Lepisosteus oculatus: one gene and its partner. The protein of the gene in region 2 interacts with the protein of the main gene of each other region in a biochemical or structural test. Links are inferred from orthologs where the notes say so. Each region holds a gene or a part of one and is shown on either strand. Other genes may lie near its edges.

Evidence for each region.
Region 1: the proteins of arhgef16 (region 2) and tax1bp3 form a complex in vitro, tested with the Homo sapiens proteins (2 studies listed by BioGRID and IntAct, with this or other methods). The link is inferred for Lepisosteus oculatus from reciprocal best matches to the Homo sapiens genes ARHGEF16 and TAX1BP3.

The regions. Positions count from the first base shown.
Region 1 is NC_090724.1:5,142,176-5,152,768, forward strand, and holds the start of tax1bp3 (tax1-binding protein 3), read right to left. Parts: upstream 4,143-10,593; 5' UTR 3,963-4,142; coding exon 3,924-3,962; intron 1-3,923. Other genes in the region: calcium and integrin-binding family member 3, read left to right, coding at 5,123-5,173, 6,449-6,483, 7,314-7,425, 7,975-8,122, 9,748-9,943. UniProt on the Homo sapiens protein: May regulate a number of protein-protein interactions by competing for PDZ domain binding sites. Binds CTNNB1 and may thereby act as an inhibitor of the Wnt signaling pathway. Competes with LIN7A for KCNJ4 binding, and thereby promotes KCNJ4 internalization.
Region 2 is NC_090720.1:5,495,115-5,505,815, forward strand, and holds the start of arhgef16 (rho guanine nucleotide exchange factor 16), read left to right. Parts: upstream 1-5,991; 5' UTR 5,992-6,256; intron 6,257-7,549; 5' UTR 7,550-7,665; coding exon 7,666-8,280; intron 8,281-9,997; coding exon 9,998-10,049; intron 10,050-10,701. Other genes in the region: espn (espin), read left to right, coding at 113-133, 722-869. UniProt on the Homo sapiens protein: Guanyl-nucleotide exchange factor of the RHOG GTPase stimulating the exchange of RHOG-associated GDP for GTP. May play a role in chemotactic cell migration by mediating the activation of RAC1 by EPHA2.

The sequences.
Region 1 (10,593 bases), on a different chromosome or scaffold from region 2:
CCTCCAACTGCTCAAATACCGGAGGAAAAAATAAGCTCTTCGGCAACAGAGACAGATGCAGTCTCTTGGCAGCATCTGTGGCATTTCAGTACACAAAGCAGGCCTATATGTGATAATCAAGTCCATATAAACATCTGGCATTCTGTTCATCAGTAACTATGCCAATTATGTTGAACTTGTTGATTTGGTTCCTTTTATTATTGTCTGTCTCGCTCTCTGATAACATCTGGCACCCAAAAGGCAGAAGAAGAACTTCTTCAGTTGTCTTTATCTGTAACTCATCAACCCCTTAGATAACCTCGGACAGGCGGGTAGTTCAAGTAGTTTGAGACTTTTTGACAAGCTGAGAGCTACTAGACTCTTCACACTAGTTTAGGATTAAAATCCGTAATGTGCTTTGTTTGTTTGCTCGATGTGACGAACAAAGCTCTTTTAATAGCAAAATAATGCAAGAAGCAGATGCTGTGTGGCTGACAGTTATAAGGACAGTAGAAAAAGATTGAGCCAGAGACTAGAAGAGCTGGGCTCTATTCTTTGTTTTTATATTAACTGTTGTTAAAATGTATTGTTCTGACTGAGAAGAAATAAAACTCTTTACTGAAATACCATATATCATCACATAACTTGACAATCTTCACACTAGTTATGTTAGCATCTAATGGAATGATGAGTCTGTATCTATCTCTGTGGATAAACTAAGAAACATCAATTCACAAAAAGCGGATTAACTAAATATTGAAAATGCTTTTTTCACTCCAATGCAATATTTAAATAATCTATACAAGGGCACTAAAACCAGTTCTGGGACTATGACGTGTTAATTTAACTTCTTATCAGTTATCTCACATTCCTCTCCTTATGTGTAATATCAAGGACTCGGCAATCTGCAGTGAGGCTATTGGCTATTTAAAGAACGCCATCATTAGCTTATCCTGTTGAGAATGTTTTGCAATGTCCTGGCATCTTCATTAATATAAAGAAATAACATGCAGCATGTCCTATAGCAAATCTACCCAAAAGTCTTATTTTCAAGTCCTATGAAAGCTAACACTATCTTAATACATCAAGTAATCTAATTCAAGGTTCTTGATAGAACTGAACACTTTGCAGACTTGTTAGTTGCATTTTCAGCATTTTAAAAGTTGTCTGAATACATATGAAAACTGGGAAACACAATAAAACACATGAGTACCCTCATCATATTACGATGGTCTGAAGTCAACTTCACTGCATGTTCAGAGGGAACCCAGTCAATGCACTGCAGCAGAAAGTGTAATATCTGTATTTACTAATCAGACTGGGATGTGCAAACATGAAAGTTCTTTCTTCTAAGTGTGACCTGGAATGTTAGCACTCACATCTGGCTTTCTTTAATATGTTATTGTACTTGCAATCAAAGCTAAAATACTTTTCCAGGAAGTTACTCTTAAGATTCTATTGTTATAAAATACTCCTTTTAATTAAATCAATATAAATGCATGTGAGGAAGCTTATAAAAATAATAACAGCTTCAAACACTACAGTGTCCCAGATTGTGGATGAAAAAAAAAATTTTTCAATATCTCAGTTTGAGGACAGCACAGTGGTACAATGGTTAGGTTTGCTACCTCACAATGCTAACCGCTGGGGACCCGGATTCAATTCCTGGGGGTACTAACTACATGGAGTTTATAACACATGTTCTTGCATGGGTTTCCACTTTGTGCTCCGGTTTCCTCCCACAGTCCAAAGACATACTGGTACAGTAGGTCTACTGGCTTCTGTAAAATTGGCCCTGCTCTGAGTGTGTGTGCCCTGAAATGGAGCCATCCAGGTGAACAGTATCTCACCTTGTGCCAGTTGCTTGCCAGGGTAACTTCCAGCTCTCCCTACAACCATGTTCATCTTAAATGGATGAGAAAATGGAAGGATGGATCTCAGTTTGAAAAACTTAAATTCAGATTCTTTGTAAGGACCTCGGGGTGCTCACTTGTAACTCACACAGCAAAAGCACAGAATATGAAGAGGTCTTCCTATATCTTTTCTATTCTGCATGCCTTTTCTCCTCTAATATTTACTAAAAATCGCATGTTTCATCGTGTGAGCACGTGCTAATACAAACAACATCCGTATGTAATATCTGCCCCCACTGACCCTGGATAACAGCATGTCCTGTGGCGTCAGTCACACACCCCAGCAGTTTGCCAGCTCATGTACTGACATGGTGAACAGGATGAATCTCTCCGTGTATTAGCAATACTGTTGTTTAAATAGTGTGTTGCCAAGGTGACACGAGGTTCAAGGCTTCTTAGATCTTACTATAAAAAATACCATACATAAAGCCTTCTACAGCACCTACAGTGCTCTTGGTTCTTCATTCCTTCAATATTTAAAAACCCAAAGCTGGAACCTTGAATAGAAACAAATTTGTCAGTTTCTCCATATCAGTCAATTTGTTTAGATGAGAAAAGCTAGAAAATGCTTTCTTAACTCTCCACTTAGTTACTGTGTGTCTGTGTGTGTACAAAGTGGTCTCCCCTTCACATTATAAGGGTGCTTTTTACGATTGGTCTCTTTAATAACGAGTAAGCAAACACAGTTTAATCCACAGTACAGTTTGTGCTAACAGTGTCATACGTTCATTTTGATGAAACAGCTGGACATATGTTGAATGAATAATACGAAAAAGGTAATTGATACAGATGTTGCTGTTACAGTTCTTCATTGAAGTTCGTGAAATACGCTGACCAGAATTGCTGCTAAATTAATACATCGAGGAATTTCTCAGAGCACCTCTTTGCCGACAGGTGTGTCAGTAACAACTAACAAATTGTTAGGCGGTCAAATGTTTTTTGAGCAATATATAGAATTACATATATAGAATAATTCACTGAATTGTTGGTTAACAGTTAACATGCACTCAGCAGTGGGAAAAAAATACATTTTCTGCTACAATTGCTATACTGTCTGTAAGTCTTTTCCACATCTGGTGAAAAGACGATTAAAACGAATAGGGAATTGTCTGTAACCTACAAGTACTCATATCTATATGAGGATTTTTCATTCAAACAGGTGTAACAAATTAACACGGGTAAAAATAGCCGCACGCCATTAAAAATGTATTTCTTGATACTGTAGTTCCGTGAAACCTGACGAGCAAACTATGATAAAAACTCACTCATACACCCACTTCGTAAACACGCGGGGAAACCATTTACCGTAAGTAGTTGTAGTTGAAAAAAATCGGATCAATTACTTAAAACGAATGCACATCTGTTATAACCACAAAGCAAATAGCCTTAATTGTATTATTAATTTATAATTGTATTGTATAGGTTTTGCATTCTATAAAAGTTTTAATTCTTTCAAATTCACAAACTTTTCATACAGAATACAGTGCAGGTTATCCGTATGTATGTAGTAGTACACGGGTGCGGATGGTACCCTTTAAAATTTAAAGGAACCGTGATTTCTCAAAAAGAGCCGAAGCAAAGGAGACAGAATTTTTTTTCAGAAATGTTCTACTAAGTAAAAATCAATAACGCATCAAACACATACTACTAATGATGTGAATAAAATTACGACGACAAAAACTCACTTTCTTTTACAAAAAATAAAATTTCTCATTCAAGTTTGCATTGAACTAGTCATTTACACCAATGTTAGTTTTTACAACTCGTGCGCGTAAAAACCATGGATGTTATTTTTTATGTTAAAAGTAGATTACTTTAGTCACGCAACAATACATTTAAAATTTTTTCGTACTCGCACCCCAACGTAACAGCTCTACAAAGGGATTTCTGCGTTTCCCCCCGTGGCTTCAACTTGATACGCAAGACCGAGGCTTTGTAAGGCCTACAAAATATTCCCTTCAAATAGCTCCATAGCCGCTATGGATGATGCACGGAAAAGCAAAAGAAAGTTTTCTTGTTAGAGAAACTTACCACTACCGCTGTAACTGGCTGTCCTGGAATAAAAGACATTGTAAACCAAATACAATAAAAATCGCCTCACTCCGTAAAAAAGGCACAGCCCTCAGCCGAACAAGGGATAAATACAATTAAAGCACCACTTTCCTTATTCATGAGCAGACTTTGTGAATAATTCATGACTCGGCTCCAGGTTGGGCGTATAAAGATGAGGTAATGCTCCCTACTGTTGGTGTTGGAAATTAAGTCGATCGTCCCGATTTATACAGACTCTTAATAAAAAACTAAGCACTACCGTGAAACTTCACAGTAAAGTGCTGTTGATTTAACTGGAATTTAAACTGCAGTCTTGTTTATATTAATGGAAATGTCCTTGCAATTTTAAAGGACGCCAATGTATTAAAAAATCTTTGCTCAATTTCACAATTCTGGAAGATCCCTCCTCATGTTTATTTGGAGTTTGAAGTTACAAAATTGCACAAATAAACGTTTAGTGTTCAAACGGTACAAGGAATTAATGTATTCGTCAAGTTTTGTTAAGAAGCACGTTTATTTTTCTTATGCATTCAAAGTAATTCTGATGTTATTCAGCTGCAGACCTTTTAAATCCCTTCCTTCTGGGTCTCTTTTTCTTTTTATTTGTACAAGGTACATTAAAAAAACCTGCCCTCTGGCCCATCACGCACCCTAAGGATGTCACCCAGTTTATTGAACAGGGACAGCGCACAGCTCTTAAACAGCACTAGAGTTAGTTAAATGACATCTGTACATCTGGGATGGACACAACATGACACAAACACGATACAAGTATACAAGTACTGCTTGCTGTTGTGGACAAACGTCAGCACACCAGGTTGACGAGACCTGATGCACTGTCTGTAAAGACCATTTAGAGGCTGTAACGTGAGACAGGGGTGAGTGCGAGGTAGGAACATCACGCTGGGGAGCACTTGGCGTTGATATGAGTCTGAATCATGCTGGACGCCAGCCCTAGTTCATTTTAAAGGGGCTTCTATTCAGATCAGAGAAATCGATGAAATGCTCCTATTATGATGGTGAACTAAAGGGGCGCGTGGCAAAGGATACCTGATCTCCCACTGTTTCAGGGCTCCTTTTGTTCCAGTATTTTCATATCTGAAATATCCAGAGGTCTTATAAAAGGCTGTTGGGTGGAACACTGCAATGGCACTGAGGCACGGGGAGTTTGCACAAGGATGGGGAACAAACAGACCATCTTTACAACACAGCAGCTAGATGCCTATCAGGTTGGTTCTAATTTATTGTCTCTCAGCGGGATGTTCTTTGAACTCTCATGATTATTCTTATTCAGGGCTGCACTTTGCAGATTGGAGCAACTTCTCTTTCTGTACACTTTACCTGTGAACCCACTTTCAAAGACACAATGTTCTACGGTGTGAATCTTTCAAATAAGTCGTGAGTGAGCACTTTCTGAAACCACTGTAAATATCTGTTTTGTGCCAACAGTTATTACTATCAGCAAAGTATAGCAACCTGCTCCACCCAGATGCAATACAATTGCATTGGATCTTTTTCTAACTGGGTTGTGAAGGCTGAGCATTTCATATAAGTTTAAAAACAAGCAGTAAGGATGACACCTGTCTTTCTGGGATTGATTATTTCTGTGCACTGCGCCTTTCACTTTTGAATGGACCTGCTTGTATTAGCAAGGGATGTGTGGAGTGTGGAGTAGCAGTCCTCATTTCTAAATTACAAAGCTGTATGTTCTAGCCAGCAATCCCTCCATTTGTAAATGCCAGTGGTTTGAAAGGAAAGTTTGCAGCCTCGGTTAAAGAATTGACTGCTCATTCGAAGTAAATGGCCATTCTTGTTCACCACAGTCCGAAGGGTTAGCGCCAGTGTCAAGCAAGGCCGGATTATGGCAGGGTCTTTGTTCCATTAACAAAGAGGGTTGCTGAAGAGGAAATATGATTAATTTCTTCCTCTGTTAGCTCTGCAGCATGACTGTGCCGAAAGGCTGCTGGTACATATTCATCCAGCATTATTTACTGATGAGCTGGTTTGGTATCAGTCCAGAGAAGAGCAACTAGATACATTTTGGGTCTTAAGGAGATGTTGTACACTGACAAGCTGAAAGAACTGAACCTCTTTAGTCTTAAACAGAGAAGAGTATGAGGTGACCTGATACAAGTATTCAAAATTCTGACAAAGATAACCCAGCAGAGTTCTTCAGAACAACATTATTCGGGAAATTCTGGCTTATTTCAAGGAATGGCAGGATGATATAAATTAACTGTTAATTAAATGTTCTTGAATAGCGTTCTGTAAGTAACTGTTTTTATGTTATTATGTAGAAAGGTAATAAGAAATAAACAACTTTTCATCCGTTGAGTCTTCAAGTGTCTTGTATTGTGGTTTTGCCTTATAATGGAGATGTAATAAAAAATGCTAATGTCACATACATGAAGCATGCGTATCACATAAGTGAAGTTATGCCAATATGATGAACAGACAAGCATTCTCTATAGTTCAAATAGTTTTTATCTTTGTTGTTTTTCTAGGACTGTACATTTTTCACCAGAAAAGAAATCCTGAGGTAAGAAAAATGGCTCACCTTTGATAATAAACAAGGTTAATGAAGTAAATCCTTTTTGTTCATGTGGAATGTGACACAGCGAAGTTGTGAGGCATTTCTGTTAAGAGAACAAAATACAGAAAAAAACATTTTGCAATTTCATTGAGAGAAAAAAATAAACTCTTTCAAAATCTTTGTTCAAAACAACCACAAGGACAAATTTTATTTGAACATAGTTTATATTTACCTTTCAGTAAAAGAAAGACAATGAAATATAGTCTGTCTGTCAATTCAGGAGCTAAAGACATTAGGTTGAACCATTGACCTGCATGCAGAACATTATTTTAAATTAATTTCTTTTACATTAGAATCCTTTGCACAAAGTTGATTTAGCTCATCAGTAAAAATTCAGTTCTCTGGGTTTGATGTTCAATGACATTTGCAGAATTAAATGGATTTTGATTGTCGTCCTAAATCCTGAACAGAACTGAATGGCTTCCAAGCCGTTCTTCTAAATATAGTGCTTGTGTAGTCCATTTAGTTTAGACTAAATGGTGTCCTGCCCAAATTTCCCCCTGGCCCTTACCAATCATGGCCTCCTAATAATCCCCATTTCTGAACTGGCTTCATCACTCTGCTCTCCTCCCCACTGAGAGCTGATGGGTGTTGAGAGTACTGGCGCACTTTGGCTGCCATCACATCATCCGGGTGGGGGCTACACACTGGGGGTGATGGAGGGGACTCCCCATTACCTGTAAGGTGCTTTGAGTGGAGTGTCTAGACAGGCACTATGTAAGTCTAAGGATATTATGATTATGATGTATCCTTGTGTCATGTACTAATGTCCCTAGGCTGTTTCATCGCTACCGGGACCTGGCACCACAGCTTGTTCCACTCGACTACACCAGCAACCCAGATGTCAAGATACCATACGAGCTGATTGGCAGCATGCCAGAGTTGAAGGTACGCCCACCGATTGTGCTGGTGAAGGATGTCCATGCCATGCTCCTGGGGACACAATCAATTATTCATCGCCTACTAATTGACAGGAGCCTTGGAGAGGTTATGAGTAACTTGATCCCTGTACACCTGAAGAAAGTTATATTGCACAGCTTGTGCTCCTGGCAATAGCAGCTATTGTCTGGCACTTCACACACAGTACAGGGCTGCTCTTGTGGGCATTTGCACCGTGGAAAAGATCAGCATTATTAGTGAGCAAATACACCCTTAATCATCTGCCAAAATCCCTTTGCAGATAGAGAAACGTTTGCAAAAATATTAGACCAATAGTTTGCTAAAAACATTTTTGGTAGAACCTGTAATAGATAAGTTGTGTGCAGGTGAGCATGGGAGGTATGCTTTGTCTCTGTTGTTCTGGTAAAAGCAAACAAAACTAATCAATACATTTCTCTACAGGACTGGTCATTAAAAAAGGATGTGCAGTACTTCAGATGGTTGTGAGTGATTCAGGGTGGTAGTTAATTAAACAGATGTCTTTTTTGCAAATTGCAGGACAACCCTTTCCGCCAGAGAATAGCTGAGGTTTTCTCTGAAGACGGAGAGGGAAATATGACCCTAGATGACTTCCTGGACATGTTCTCTGTACTGAGTGAAATGGCACCAAGGGATCTGAAAGCATATTATGCTTTTAAAATTTATGGTTAGTCCTGGTCCATTGCAATTTGTTTGTAAAAGATATATACAACATGAGTTAGGGGGAGTAGATCTCAGTAGAAGACAAATACATATGTTTATGGGCTTTTATTTTATATACTTTTCCAAATGTGGTCTACCTTTCATTTGAAGAAACTTTTATTTTGCAGATATCACCTCTACAGTAGCAATCAAACTTTCATTTCTACCCAACTTGACTGATAAGGGCTCATCCGATTTTTCTCACGTTAATTGTCTCCAAGCGTGATTCATGTAAGTTATAGACGTTTTCCAGTCAAGAATAGGATAAAGAGCTGTCCAAGTTAAATGCTTTAACTTTAGTATTGCCGTGCTTACAAATGTGATTTGTGGAAGAGAAGCCATTTTTCCAATTATACAAACTCTTCAGCATACCCAACGATTTTAAAATTTCCTTAGCATGCTAGGAAGTAGATAACTACTTCCAAGATAGACCACTCGGTGGTGCCCCCCACTGCCTATAGCGCAACAAAGCAAAAGGAGCCAAAGATACTCAGAGCTTTAACTGAGACAACCTGAAAAGAACAGACAATAGAAAGCCATTCAGGAATAATTGATGAGCCCGTTATATGAAAGGCTCGGTTCTGAAAGGCTGCTGTGTGCTGGTGTGCCAGCGTTTTCTAATTAAAACACGCTGACAGATCACGCTGTTTTACAGCACGGGGCCATGGTCATGGGTCAAAGAAAGTTTTCATGTATTATTCAGACGAGTTAAAAGAAAAGAGAGCAGGGCCGCAGTAGCTAGGCTTACAAATGAGCTACAATGCCATGGCAGTGAATTACTGATTTTGTCACTTAATTTACGAGGAGTATCAAGTTTATTATTTATTGGCTTAGAAGACGCCCTCGTGTAGAGAGACTTCATATGTCTAATATATGATAACATGCAAGGACTTTAAAATAAATCGAATTATAAAACAATTTACGATGTGTGACAGTGATGACGTCGAGGAAAAGTCTGCTGCTGGTGAATTTTCAGGCATAACATTTCCAGCTTGCTAGTTTCTTTGAAACACACCTGGTTAGTGCGTCCAGACAAAGACAAAACTGTTTAATGTCAAATGGCGATGGACTAATAGAGACCTGAAAGTGAGCGGTTCTTCTTGCTGGACAGATGTAGCTGCAGTGATTTGTGTCCATCTGTAGCTATATCCATCCACGTCCCAACTGCTATATCCAATTCAGGGACCCGGCAAGGCAGGACACACCCTGGAGGGGACGCCAGTCCATTGCAAGAGAGACACAGACACGCACACGTGAGGAGAACTTGCAAACTCCACACAGACAGTACCCCAGGTCTAGAATTGAACCCAGGGCCCCAGCACTAACCACTGTGCCACCATTCCACCCCATACACTTAAAGTACTAGAGCAGCCTTCACTCAGTCTAAGTGATTTAACTCTGGCAAACACCTCCAGGTGATATTCCTGGAGGTTCAAGCTTCATGTTAGACATGAAGCCAGAGTGTCCAGTTCAGCAAGGGACCACCAGCGCAAGCTGAATAACATTTGCTCGATGTCATGGTTTTTTTCTCCCTGGGGAGTCACGCCAGATTTCTCCCTCCACCCCCCCTTCCCCCTCCTCTGCTCTCAGACTTCAATAACGATGACTTCATCTGCAAGTCCGACCTGGAGAAAACGCTGAACAAGCTCACCCGCAACGAGCTCACCCCGGAGGAGGTGCGGCTGGTGTGCGAGAAGGTCATCGACGAGGCCGACCTGGACAACGACGGGCGTCTGTCCCTGGAGGACTTCCAGCACATGATCGTGCGCGCCCCAGATTTCCTCAGGTCAGCAGCAACCCCTCCCCTGGAAACAAGACAAACCTGACGGCCTGGAATAAAATACTGCTGCCTGCTATTGCCTTCCGCATGATGCTCCAGATGCCAGATTTGCCATTTATACAGCCATAGATGTTGTCCTGGACTCTCAGGCTAACAGCAAGCACCATCACACCATGCCCTTTTTATTACAATGCCTCTTAGTGTTGTCGTCTCTCTGTTTGGTTAATAGTCTTTTAGAAAGTACTTTACCAACTTTAACTCTGGAAAGGGTGCATCTCTGATAAGCTTATCAAGTGCACTTGTGCTTATTTATTAAAAGAGCAGCCTACTGCTAGTCTGGAGCAAAAAGTTTTTTTTTCACTTGTCGAAATGATTGCAGCTGTGCAGCATGTTCTGTTTGTAACAGTAACGTAAGGTTTTGGGGTCACAAGGGTTCTCTTTTTTTTCTGAAGAACATTTTGAAGATGATTTAGAAAATTACAGATTAAACTTTAATTTGGACTCAGGGACTATTAGAATTATATTGCAATGGTCCCATCTCCCATATCACACTGTTCAATTAAATAAGTCCGCTGTGTAATTGTGTTTTGATACAGTAGATTTCTATACAGTTTTCTCAATCATGCATGTAGCCTATTCACTCCGGAACACCTGAG
Region 2 (10,701 bases):
CTTTTTTAATTTCTCAACTCCAAGAAGGCAAAGGATGGCTGTGTGTACAAACTCACAAACTCACCTGCTGTCCGTCATTGTGCTGATATCTCTTTGTGCTTCTTTCCTCTGGGTCACACAGGGAGCAAAAACGGTAAGACATTCTACCCATTCCCCAGACACTGTCCTTAAACTGCCACTTTATGAAATTGATTAGCTAATTCCTTGAGTTCAATCAATGGCGACTCAAACAGGTATGTTTCAGTCTGGCCTGGTTGAACATGTGACCTCATGCATGACTTTAAAAGAAGTCTGTGCTCACAGTAGAAACAGCGTAAGGCAGGACATTTAAGAGGAGGAAGTGCTTCTTTATACACAAGGTTTCAGGAGTGTGTTGGTGTCTTCTATCACAATAAATCAATTTTGATCTGATCAATTGGCTATTAGCAGACAAACGAGATAGATGGGCTGACCACTGTCCACTCTCATGTAGGCTTTCTTAATACAATAATAAACACAAAAACCTCACATTTTTTGGCTATACAAGAAAACTTTTTTTTTTTAGTTGGTAAAACGACATCTATATAATCTCTTCACTTTATCTGGTAGGTACTATAATGCAGTTTCTTAAACTAGAAGCTCTGACTTATTTTCATGTCAGAGAATAGCAGAAGCTGGTGGTGGCTATTGGCTGGAAGGTAGTTTGCTTCCACTAACATCAACTCTGGTCTCGTGGCAACAGAAAAGAGGAAGAAAGGATGAAAAAGGAGAAGGAAGACGAGGAGAAGAGCGAGCTGGAAAAGCTAAGGACCCTCGGCTACGACGAGACCAAGCTGGCGCCATGGCAACGGCAGATCATCTTAAAGAAAGGAGACATTGCAAAACAGTAAAGGCCTGCCTCTACTCTGACACTGCAAACCTCCCCCCCTGTCTTCACCAAACCTCCCTGTCTCCTGCTCTGAGGGGAGAACCCTCTTTTTGCCCCCTGGCCAGGGTCTGTTAGCTTGTAAACCTGGACTCTGAGAGTCTGTGGAGGGTATACATGCCTTGTGCTAGTGAGCACAGATGCACAGTACAAGACAGAAATGGTCATAGGCCCAGCATTGGATTAGCAGCCTCCATATTGTGCACCAACTTTGCACTCTACAGTCTCTTACATTGTTTAATAAGAATCATAGGAAGGTTCTACAGTGAGTACTTGCCTTTAGGTAGCATCCTGCTTCAAGACCTTTTTAGAAAAAACACTTCCTGTTAATCAAAGTACCGGCATGTTTACCGACGTGTAGGTTTTCCATTATAACCAGTTTCCAAGAAATGGAAATGCAAATAATAATTTTCAACCACTCCTCTGTGTTGTACGAATTGAAGCATTTTATCAAGAGAAGCAAATCTTTTAAAAAAAACTGCTGCGTAAGAAGCAAGCACTATCCTGCGGGGAAACGACTTGATTGGGTAGAGGCTAACGTGAGAGCATCTGTGCAGGTATAGGGCCTGGCTCCTGTCTTCCTATTTTGAGAAATACAGTGATGACCATATTATATGCACCCCATACTTTCTGAATATTAAGCTCTTACGGTGAAACCCAGATGTGCATGCAGTTTTAACAATTTAAAGAACTTTTGTATAAGAAACAATGGTGTATGACATGTTGTTCCTTACAGTACAGTGCCAGTATTATAGGGAGCAACACAACAGAAAAGACAGTTTGCAGTCTAGAATCCTTGCTTTTCCACAGGGAAAATGCAATGGTACAGCACTTGGCTGTACTGCCAAATTAACTGTATCATGAAGTGCAGTGAAGGTATCTCCTGATGAAAACTTATACCCCTTAAACTTGGCTATTGACCAACAGTTAAGAAACATCATATCAGTGTGCAAATCAGTCGTCTTTTAAAGCCACAAGAATTGCTGTCCTGTGTAGCAGCTCCGTTTCCAGAGGATGAGAAAGCTGGCTGACCCCTCAGCAGTTAAAGAGGTACTGAGTAAAAAGGTGAAATTGTTAATTCTTTATACTATATGCAGTTTGAACAGCAAAAAGAAACTGGAGCTTTTAAGACCAATAGTAAAAAAATAGCAGGCATAATTTAAATATCTCTGCATAAAATATTGTGTATTGTATGGATTGATAAAAAATTGAATTATGGTTTACTGAAAACTCAAATGCAACATTCTAGTTTATTATCTTTATAATCACACAAAGCAAAGCACAAAGCAAGAACACAAAGCAAAATGAAGGTGTAATTTCTAAGTTAATGACAAATTGGCCCCAACCTTATTGAATGACAGCAGAAGGCTTTATATTAATTAAAACCTCTTTCTTAGATAACAGACTATATAATCTAACATATATCGCATACAGTACGGTTGAGCAAATTCAGCAGCTGCACTGAACATCTGTATTCTTTCAAAACTCAGTTGAACAATTTCATTCTGTGGTGTCTGTCCCTATCTGACCGTTCAACAAAGTAATCTAATTTTAAATGAGCATAAGAACTGTTAACAGTAATACACCCTGTAAGCTTACATGTTAACCGTGCACCAAATTTTAATTCACTCCATGCTTTGGTTTCATAGATAATGGTTGTAGCACATACTTGATCTGTATGGGACCAAACAGAGGGGACAGATATGTCATAGAATATGGCTGGTGTACCTCACCCTTGGTTACAAAATGATTACAAAAGAGGTACCTGGGCAGCTGCACAGAAATGTGGTTCCATTTCGAAAGTTTTCCCAGTAACTGCCTGCAAGCTTTTCTTATTGCGTAGACCACTAGACTGTGCAAATTGAAACTTTAAACTATTTGCTGTAGGCATGAATCTGCCCACACCTCACGGGCCCAGAGAACTGCTGTATGAGTGTGTCTGAATGTTGTATATATGGGCTGATTTCCTGTGAACTGGCTGTAGCGCAGTAGGATAAATCAATGTGCTTTGGATGTAAATTTTTTGCAAATTAAAGATTATATAAATATATATAAAAACGTGCATGAAATAAAGGAAAATGTTTCCAAGTTTGGTAAATGTCTGGGAACATTTATCTCACCACATTGGATGCCATATTGATGTTGAAATATATATATATAAAGACGTTGTAGAACACCATTGCCATTAGTATTACTATATAGACTTGAACCCTAAATTCCCTGTGATGTTTCTTGATTCCGTTGTTACTTTTGTCAGCCTTGCTTATGTAGCATTTTGGTATATTTGTGTAAAAAACATTAAAGAAAAGAAAAAGGAGTTTTCTGACTGTCTCTTGCAATTCAATAAATTCAGAATCATACTTGTTATGCCTGGGAGATTCTGTAAAGAAAGAAGTTTTAAGCCGTTTGAATCAACTCAAGGCTTTGAATTTCTAGCCAGGAAGCAGACACCAAGTACACAAAGGTATGTATCAATACACACCAGAACTGTGGCTAAGCAGCCACGACGAATTATGCCATTCATAGTGATCGGAACCTTAAGAGCAAACATGGAATTGATGTCAAGTCAGTAAGGGTTTCCCTCTCCTCTCCACACTGTATTCCACTTTAGATGGCACCTTTGGCATGATTATGTCTTTGACCATGTTAATTACTAGTCAACAGCAAATCAAACTACATACTACATTCGAGTTCTTGATACTGGAGTATGGAAGTTTGTTGAGCTGTGTACTGTATTATTGTGCAGCCTCTCGGCTTCTTTTGAGTCCCAGTGCATCAGTTCTACACTCAAGACTGATTCAAGTAAGGTATATACTGTACGTAATTGGCAGATACTGTAAACTGCCTAATTTGTGCTTTATTAAAAAACTGGCTATTCATTTTGAAGTAGTAGTATATTTGCCATGTGAAAAGTGACACAGGCGTACAATATGGTTGTGCCTTTTGCACTGCATCTTTTTAAAACACATTTTTTAAACATGGTTTAAAAACACATTTGAAAGAGATAAAGCACATACTGTACACACAGAAGACTGGACATAAACTCTGAATTTTCATTTTTATTGCTTAATACTGAACTTGTACATGCAATCAAATGAACAGCAATGAGTGGCCGCAGCTTAAGTGTTTAAATGCATTGTTCTCTTTCACATCTAGGAAAAGACACTTTGTGTGTGAAGTATGTCTGCTTACTGGCCAGAGGCAGTTTAAACTGTTTGGATGTGCAGTGCGATACCTCTGCGAATTGTCTATAGCAGCCTTCCTTGTGCATGCACGAAATTGTAAGATTCTGTTTCCAAGAAATACCGCAGTTGCAATTAAAAGTTTTCTCAAAACAACTCAGAACAAGGAATCTTTAGATAAGGACAGTGATGTGGGGACAGTTTTACTCAAACAGAACTTCTAAACGCATTAATCCTGCTTTTGCTGATAAATTGTATCCAAAGAACATTTTAGTTGGCATGTTTTTTGCAAAATTGTGTTGAAGCCAATTTTTTGTGTACGCTTATGGAAAGACTTTAGGAATGGAAATGAGTCCAAGATGCCTGAGTGATACAGAGTTTCACCTATTAAATTTCTTCAAAACACCAAACTCAACATGCTATTGGTCCAAAGTAACAACTAGACAAGAAAACAATCATCAGACATGGGCATTTGGGCCTGTTTTTCTTTATACCATATGTTCCTGATTAAAACTAAAATAGTATTTGGCTAAAGTAATCTGAATACAGTTTATTTTTCTCAGTTTTGTTCAAAACTCCTCTCCTTCATTATTCACTAAGCTACACCTTAAACCATTCAATAGGTTAAACCTTTAGGACCCTTTTTCTCTTAACAGGCCAGTCACACACTGTCTATTAGTGTTGAGGCACACATTAGCATAATAAAGTTCAACAAAAAAGTAATGATAACTTCCACTTTCGGTGTAAGATTTTCCTTTATGCTGAAACCAGGACTTGAGTGATAATGAAGACTGTCACAAGTGTTGTAATGCACTCAATTTCAGCCTCATTCTGCTGTGTATATTTTTGTACATTATTTTTGTCACAGTTAAAACGAGATGTTGGGATAAACCTGAGTTCTTTTTTTAATATTAAGATTAGTTTTTTCACCTATCAAACAGGTTTGTACAGGTACAAAATGAGTTCTCCTTAACACCAATTTCAAAATACAATTCAACAAGGTCAACTATGTTTATTCAATTATTATTATACTGAAGTCAGCTTCTTCAATCTACCGTCTTTACAAGACACACTGGGACGGGAGATACTGTACAGCCTACCCAAGTCTCGACTTTTCTCTCAGTATGTCTATACAGAGACCAAACAACAGAGGGCGCGCATTCTTTAATAAAGCAAAACTGAAGTTAACTTCGTATACTGTATACGCTCACAAACGAATGAGCACGCCACTCATAAAATATCACATAAGCTTCGTTAAATATTGTTTATAGTTATTGGGAACGTGTATTAACGTGTATTCTAGTATATAGAAAGTAATATTACCTACATGACAAGTTGTCACTGCTATACCTACAACATCGAGGGCGATTTAGGAATTATACAGTATACACCTTTTTAGATACAGTACTAAAAGTGTAATACATGCACCCAATTTTTAGGATTGCAATTTAATATAACGTATGTCAGTTACAAACGGTGAACCAGGTATCACATCAACCACTCATGCCTATAATATGAACTATTTGTGAATCATATCAACATCACCATTTAGAAAGACTGGGGTTCAGCTTGATGGTCAAGATTCCGGTACAGAACCGACTTGCGTTCAGCCTAGCAAAACTGCGAATAAATCGCACTTGCCTTTATGAACCTAGTGCTAAATCCACAGATCCACATGCAGGAAACGGAACCACATGGTTTCACAAAATAAACCCCTCTTGGAAAATAATGTATTGTTTTAGAAGTCAATTTTGACTTCTAAAGTCAACCGTGGTTCAAGAATCCCAGATAAATCTAACACCGCCTGTGCCTCAAAAGGACGTTAATTCGCTGAATAATATCAGTCAAGTGCCTTACTGAGATCCAGTAGATAAGATACTTTGCGTGCACTTGCAAAAATCAAGGCTGCGCCCTTTTAGCTTGCAAACTGTTTACTCTGTGACAGGACACTGGCTAGGGGTAATATTTACAGTAACAGGTAGGCAGGTCGGCCGAGGCACACCTGGAGTGACGTCACCGGAGCAGTCTGACGGACAGTCGGGGAAGCAGATGGGAAGTTGGCGAGGCACGAAAGCAGCGCCGACTCGCCTTGTTTTTAATGAAAACACAAACTTTTGGACGCATCGCAAAAGGAGGCGAGACCCGCTGGACCGAGTTGCATAGAAAAAAGGTAAATAAACTCGACATCCGACAAACTGCAAATGACGGTTAAACGATTGACAGTTTACAGATCAAATCTTTTTTGTTTGTGTGTGTTTCGGGGTTTTTTCTGCCCTACAAAAACTTGTGACTTCTGGTGTCGTTTTCCGATGTTATTGGCGTGCAGAGTAAAGTGCGTTTTATTTACGGAGAAAAAAAATACGCCGCTTTGCAGAAAGATTAACGCAAGTAAAGACTGAGAGAATGGTTAATTAACGCGGTTCACCTGGAGTCAATCTGCAGGATATTTTTGTTCGTGGAAAAGCGAAAGCTCTCCTCTCGTGTGAAGACGTGTAGCACAGTGGGAAAGGTGGGATTACACTAGGTGTAGCAGACTGGAAAAACTCGACGTCCGTGTCCAAGATCACGGGGGGGACACACCTAGGGGATCATGTCTTTAGTGATGTCAATCGTCTGTTTTTATTTCTCTCTTTGCTGTCATTTCTTAATTAAAATACTATTTGCCATTTAATTACAATGGCTTGATTTTTTTTCTCGGGTATTAAACCGAAGGCATAACAAGACCAGTACAAAGTTCAGGGCACACTTGTATATTTACATACAGTATACCTGATAGGGCAGCTGAAAAGATCGGACTGGTTTCTAATCATTTTATCACCATTTGATTTCTAACTTGGATTCTAGGTCTGATGTCAAATGATGTCTGACACTTGTCCCGAAAACGTTTGTTTTAATACTAGTATTTCTGGTTCCTTGCACAGTCTGTGCGTGTGGTTTTATTCCTGATTGTTGCTGTCCCTGTTCAGCAGGACAGAGGAGGGGGGTATTCACCGGTGGGTGCGGGGGAGCAGACGGTGTCCAGGTCAGTGGGAGGGAGTTAGTAACCATCACGAGCTCCTCGCGATGACTGGGAAACCCCCCGCGTGGCAGCCGGTGTCGAGATAGTCATGCGAAGGGAGCGCAAAGTCTGCTGAATAAATCCGACTTTGTTAGTGCTCTCTCGTTTTTTAGATGCTTAAAAAGAATATACAGTGTTCTGAAACGCGTACTCCCTCGTTTTATCTATTCTTCTTAGTTTTTAGTCCCTTTGGAACGGGATGTTTGCATATGTCATGTAGCAGAAAGGAATGAGTGCTTTTCCTTGGTTTATCTGTATTTGGCTTCGTTCCTCTGAGGTTTTTTTTTATAATAGAGGACTTTTTGTTTTTATTTTGTCCCAGTTCCTAATATCAGGTAACTTTCACTGTTCAGAATGCAGCCCAGAATGTGTCTCTTACACATATTTGATCTTTCCCCCCCAAAGACACGGGACCTGACCTGCGTGTTTTTGTCTCTGCGCGCAGTATGACCAGCAGTATATTGTTCGCTTCTGGCTGAGAGACCCAGAGGTACAGCAAGCCGTGTGCCGAGTCTGGCAGGATGTATAGAAAATCAGGGCAGGGGCCGAGCAGCGGGATGTCTCAGCGCCGGTCTGATGGCTTCGTGGGAGATCAGGCTCCCCTCTTGTTGGAGAACCAGTTCGCCTCCGATCTGCAGCTGGACAGCCAATCCGGACCTCTGGTGAAGAGGGTCAGCCAGTCCCGGGGCTCTCCCCCACAACCCCACGTGACCGGCGCCCCCTCTGCTCAGGAGGAGAAGGCGGCAAAGGCCCAGATTGTTCTGAGCACCGAAAGCAAGGCCGCCCTGAAGCTGGGCACCCAGCAGATCATCCCCAAGAACCTGGCCGTGGCCAGCCGGACCAAGGTGCGCTACCACACCACCGTCGTCACCCTGCCAGTGCCCCTGGAGCCCGCGCAGGACAAGCGGGCCTCTGCCCCGGCTCTGGAGGTGTCCTGGGACGGCCACGAGAGTGACGAGGAGGACTGCACGCTGGCGAGGAACCGGCGGAACCAGTCGTACCGGGCCGCCGTGAAGAGCCTGGACAACGGCGCCCTGCCGCTGCCCGCCACGCTGTCCGCCCTCAAGCCCGTCTCGGAGGAGAAAGAGCCCGTCTCCCAGCCCCCGCGAAGCAGCGGCCGAAGCCCTGGCCGCAAGGTGAGGCCTGAGAATGGTTTCCCCGTTGCTGCGTGTGTATTTCCTGTCAAGAAAAAAAAAATGTGTGTTGGACGAAAAATCCTTTTTTTTTAATCAGATTTCTTTACACCGCCAAGTCCAGCCTGTCATGAAACGTCCGCAGCTGTATTCTGAAGCTGCTACTGCTCTGAACCTACAAAGTGAGAGCTTGCGGATACCCCATAGCTGTGTGAGCTGGCATAGCAAACCACAACCAAAAATCACAGTTGCGGGAAAAAAAACTGGTTTCTTGCAGCCTGTTGTGGCATGTTTCTTTCTGTGCACAGGGTAAAAGCACTGCGTTGTTTTAAATATAGAAACAAAGGACTGTACTTGTGTGCAGGACAGAGGACTGACACCTTCTAAAGAAAGCTCTCGTTCATGGGGTTTTGTATCTCTTGGATGGTCTATTTTGTAGCAGAGGTGGAGCAAACTGTCTCCTCTTAGGAGCTGATAAGGACCTAGGGTATGAATTCCTTCTCATAATGATGTATTTATTTCCTAGTTTGTCATGGACACATGTAGAAACAGGTCATGAACGATGCAACCCCTTGCAGGCGAATGTGGAGGTGCTGTCCTCCTCTGTTTTTGTCAGAGTCTCTGCCTTGGTGTGTCACCCAAACTGTGCTAGCTGGAGGACTCCGATCACAAGAGCTTTGCGTTGCGCAATTTTGCGTTGTGGTGTGGGAGAGCAAGGAGGCAAAGGTTATGGCTTGGAGAAATAAAGCAATTGTACATTAAGAAATTCAGCAGTGTAACATTGCTGTTAGGTTACTGGTGACTCTTTAGTCCTTAGTTTTTGTCAGTTGCAATGCAAGACTTGGGCATTTTAAGCTAGTCCTGTTTGTTCATCCCTGGAGTGAGAGACACTGGCCCATGGATCCCATCAGAGGCTGTGGCACATGAGGTTAGACACTGTGCTGTAAGAGCTGGATCTGACGTTAAGAAATGTTATATTTCTATATTCCACTTTCGACATGCTCGGCCCCTCTATCTTAAATGTCCTGGTTGAGCTCAGCACTTCAGAAATGAATGAAGTGGGTCTTCTCAGTGTGAACAAGTTTGAATCCCTTGGAATTATACAAATGAAAGCCATTTTTGTCCTTAACAATATTTCAAGCCATTTTTGAGTAATTCTTACTGTCAGGACCTATTCCAGGGCTCCCAAGTGCTTAAATGTGTTTTGCTGTGTGCACATACTGTATTTCAAAGGAAAGGAATTAAAGTAGATGCCTGGCTTCATCAGTTAAAACTCCAAGATGTGGTTTTTGAAAATTTGAAGCCCTAAAAGCAGCACAAGCCTCTCAGTCAGCCTTCGTATTCTCCCTCTTGCTTGCAATAAGTCACTGTTACTATGGGAGGAGGAGACGGCGAAAATTTTAAATAGAATGAGAATACAGTGATGATGCTTTATTTCCAGGACGGTTTCCTTCCTGTTTTATTCTGATGCCGATTAAAGCTTACTATTCTCACATCCCCACTTCTATAAACTGAGAGAGCGGCTAGTTTTTTTGAGAGGGGGTGGGGGGGTGGGGGGATTAGGAAGTGGAAATAAACTCCACATCCTAAAAAAATGGATGCATCTCCAAAAAGAAGAGGCATAATGCATGCTACTTACTCATAGCTGGGCTGTGGCCATGCCATGGAGCCTCTTGTATACCTGACTGGTAAACTGGTGCTGCTGCTGTCTTTCATGCAGAGAACCCTGGGACGGAAGAGGAACACGAAGCACAGCGGCTCTTTCAAAGATGGTACGTGACCCTTGTGTTTTAGGGGTGGGGTGTGGGCATCATGCGGGTGGGCTGTCCTTGGAAAGATGAGAGAACTTTAGTTAACTTGTAAAACACCAAATGGTGTTTGACATGTTGGTACTAATTGAGGGTTCCATAACCATTTTCTGTATTCTGTGGTTTTACCATGATTTGGTGAAAGTTTTGGAGTATAAAGGGAGATCTCCTTCTTCTCATAAACACTCCACTTTCATAATAAGAACACCAAGTAAGAGTTCCACAATTGAAGGGCTACTATGTTTCTAGTTTGGGTTCTTTCAGCGATTATTTTCCTGTTAATTTGAAGTGAAGTTAGAACAGGGGTACCAGTTCACAGTAAATCGTGGAACAGCTGTTGCCTTGGAGTTTAATTTTTGAAACTGGGTTTTGTGTTAGTGAGAAGTTGACCAAGTAAATCGCTCTGCTTTGCCTGTGTGACGCCTTTTCACTATCTAGTGAATTGGACTCTTGCAGATGTTCTGTGTACGGCCAGGGTTGAGCACCTCAGTGGTTCTGATTGGCTGTCAGAAACCAGATATCACTCAGTTTACGACCAATCCGCTCGCCACGCCCCAAGCAGACCCTGTCTGTAGAACTTTCACACCAATGATGATGTCACAGTCATGATGAGAGG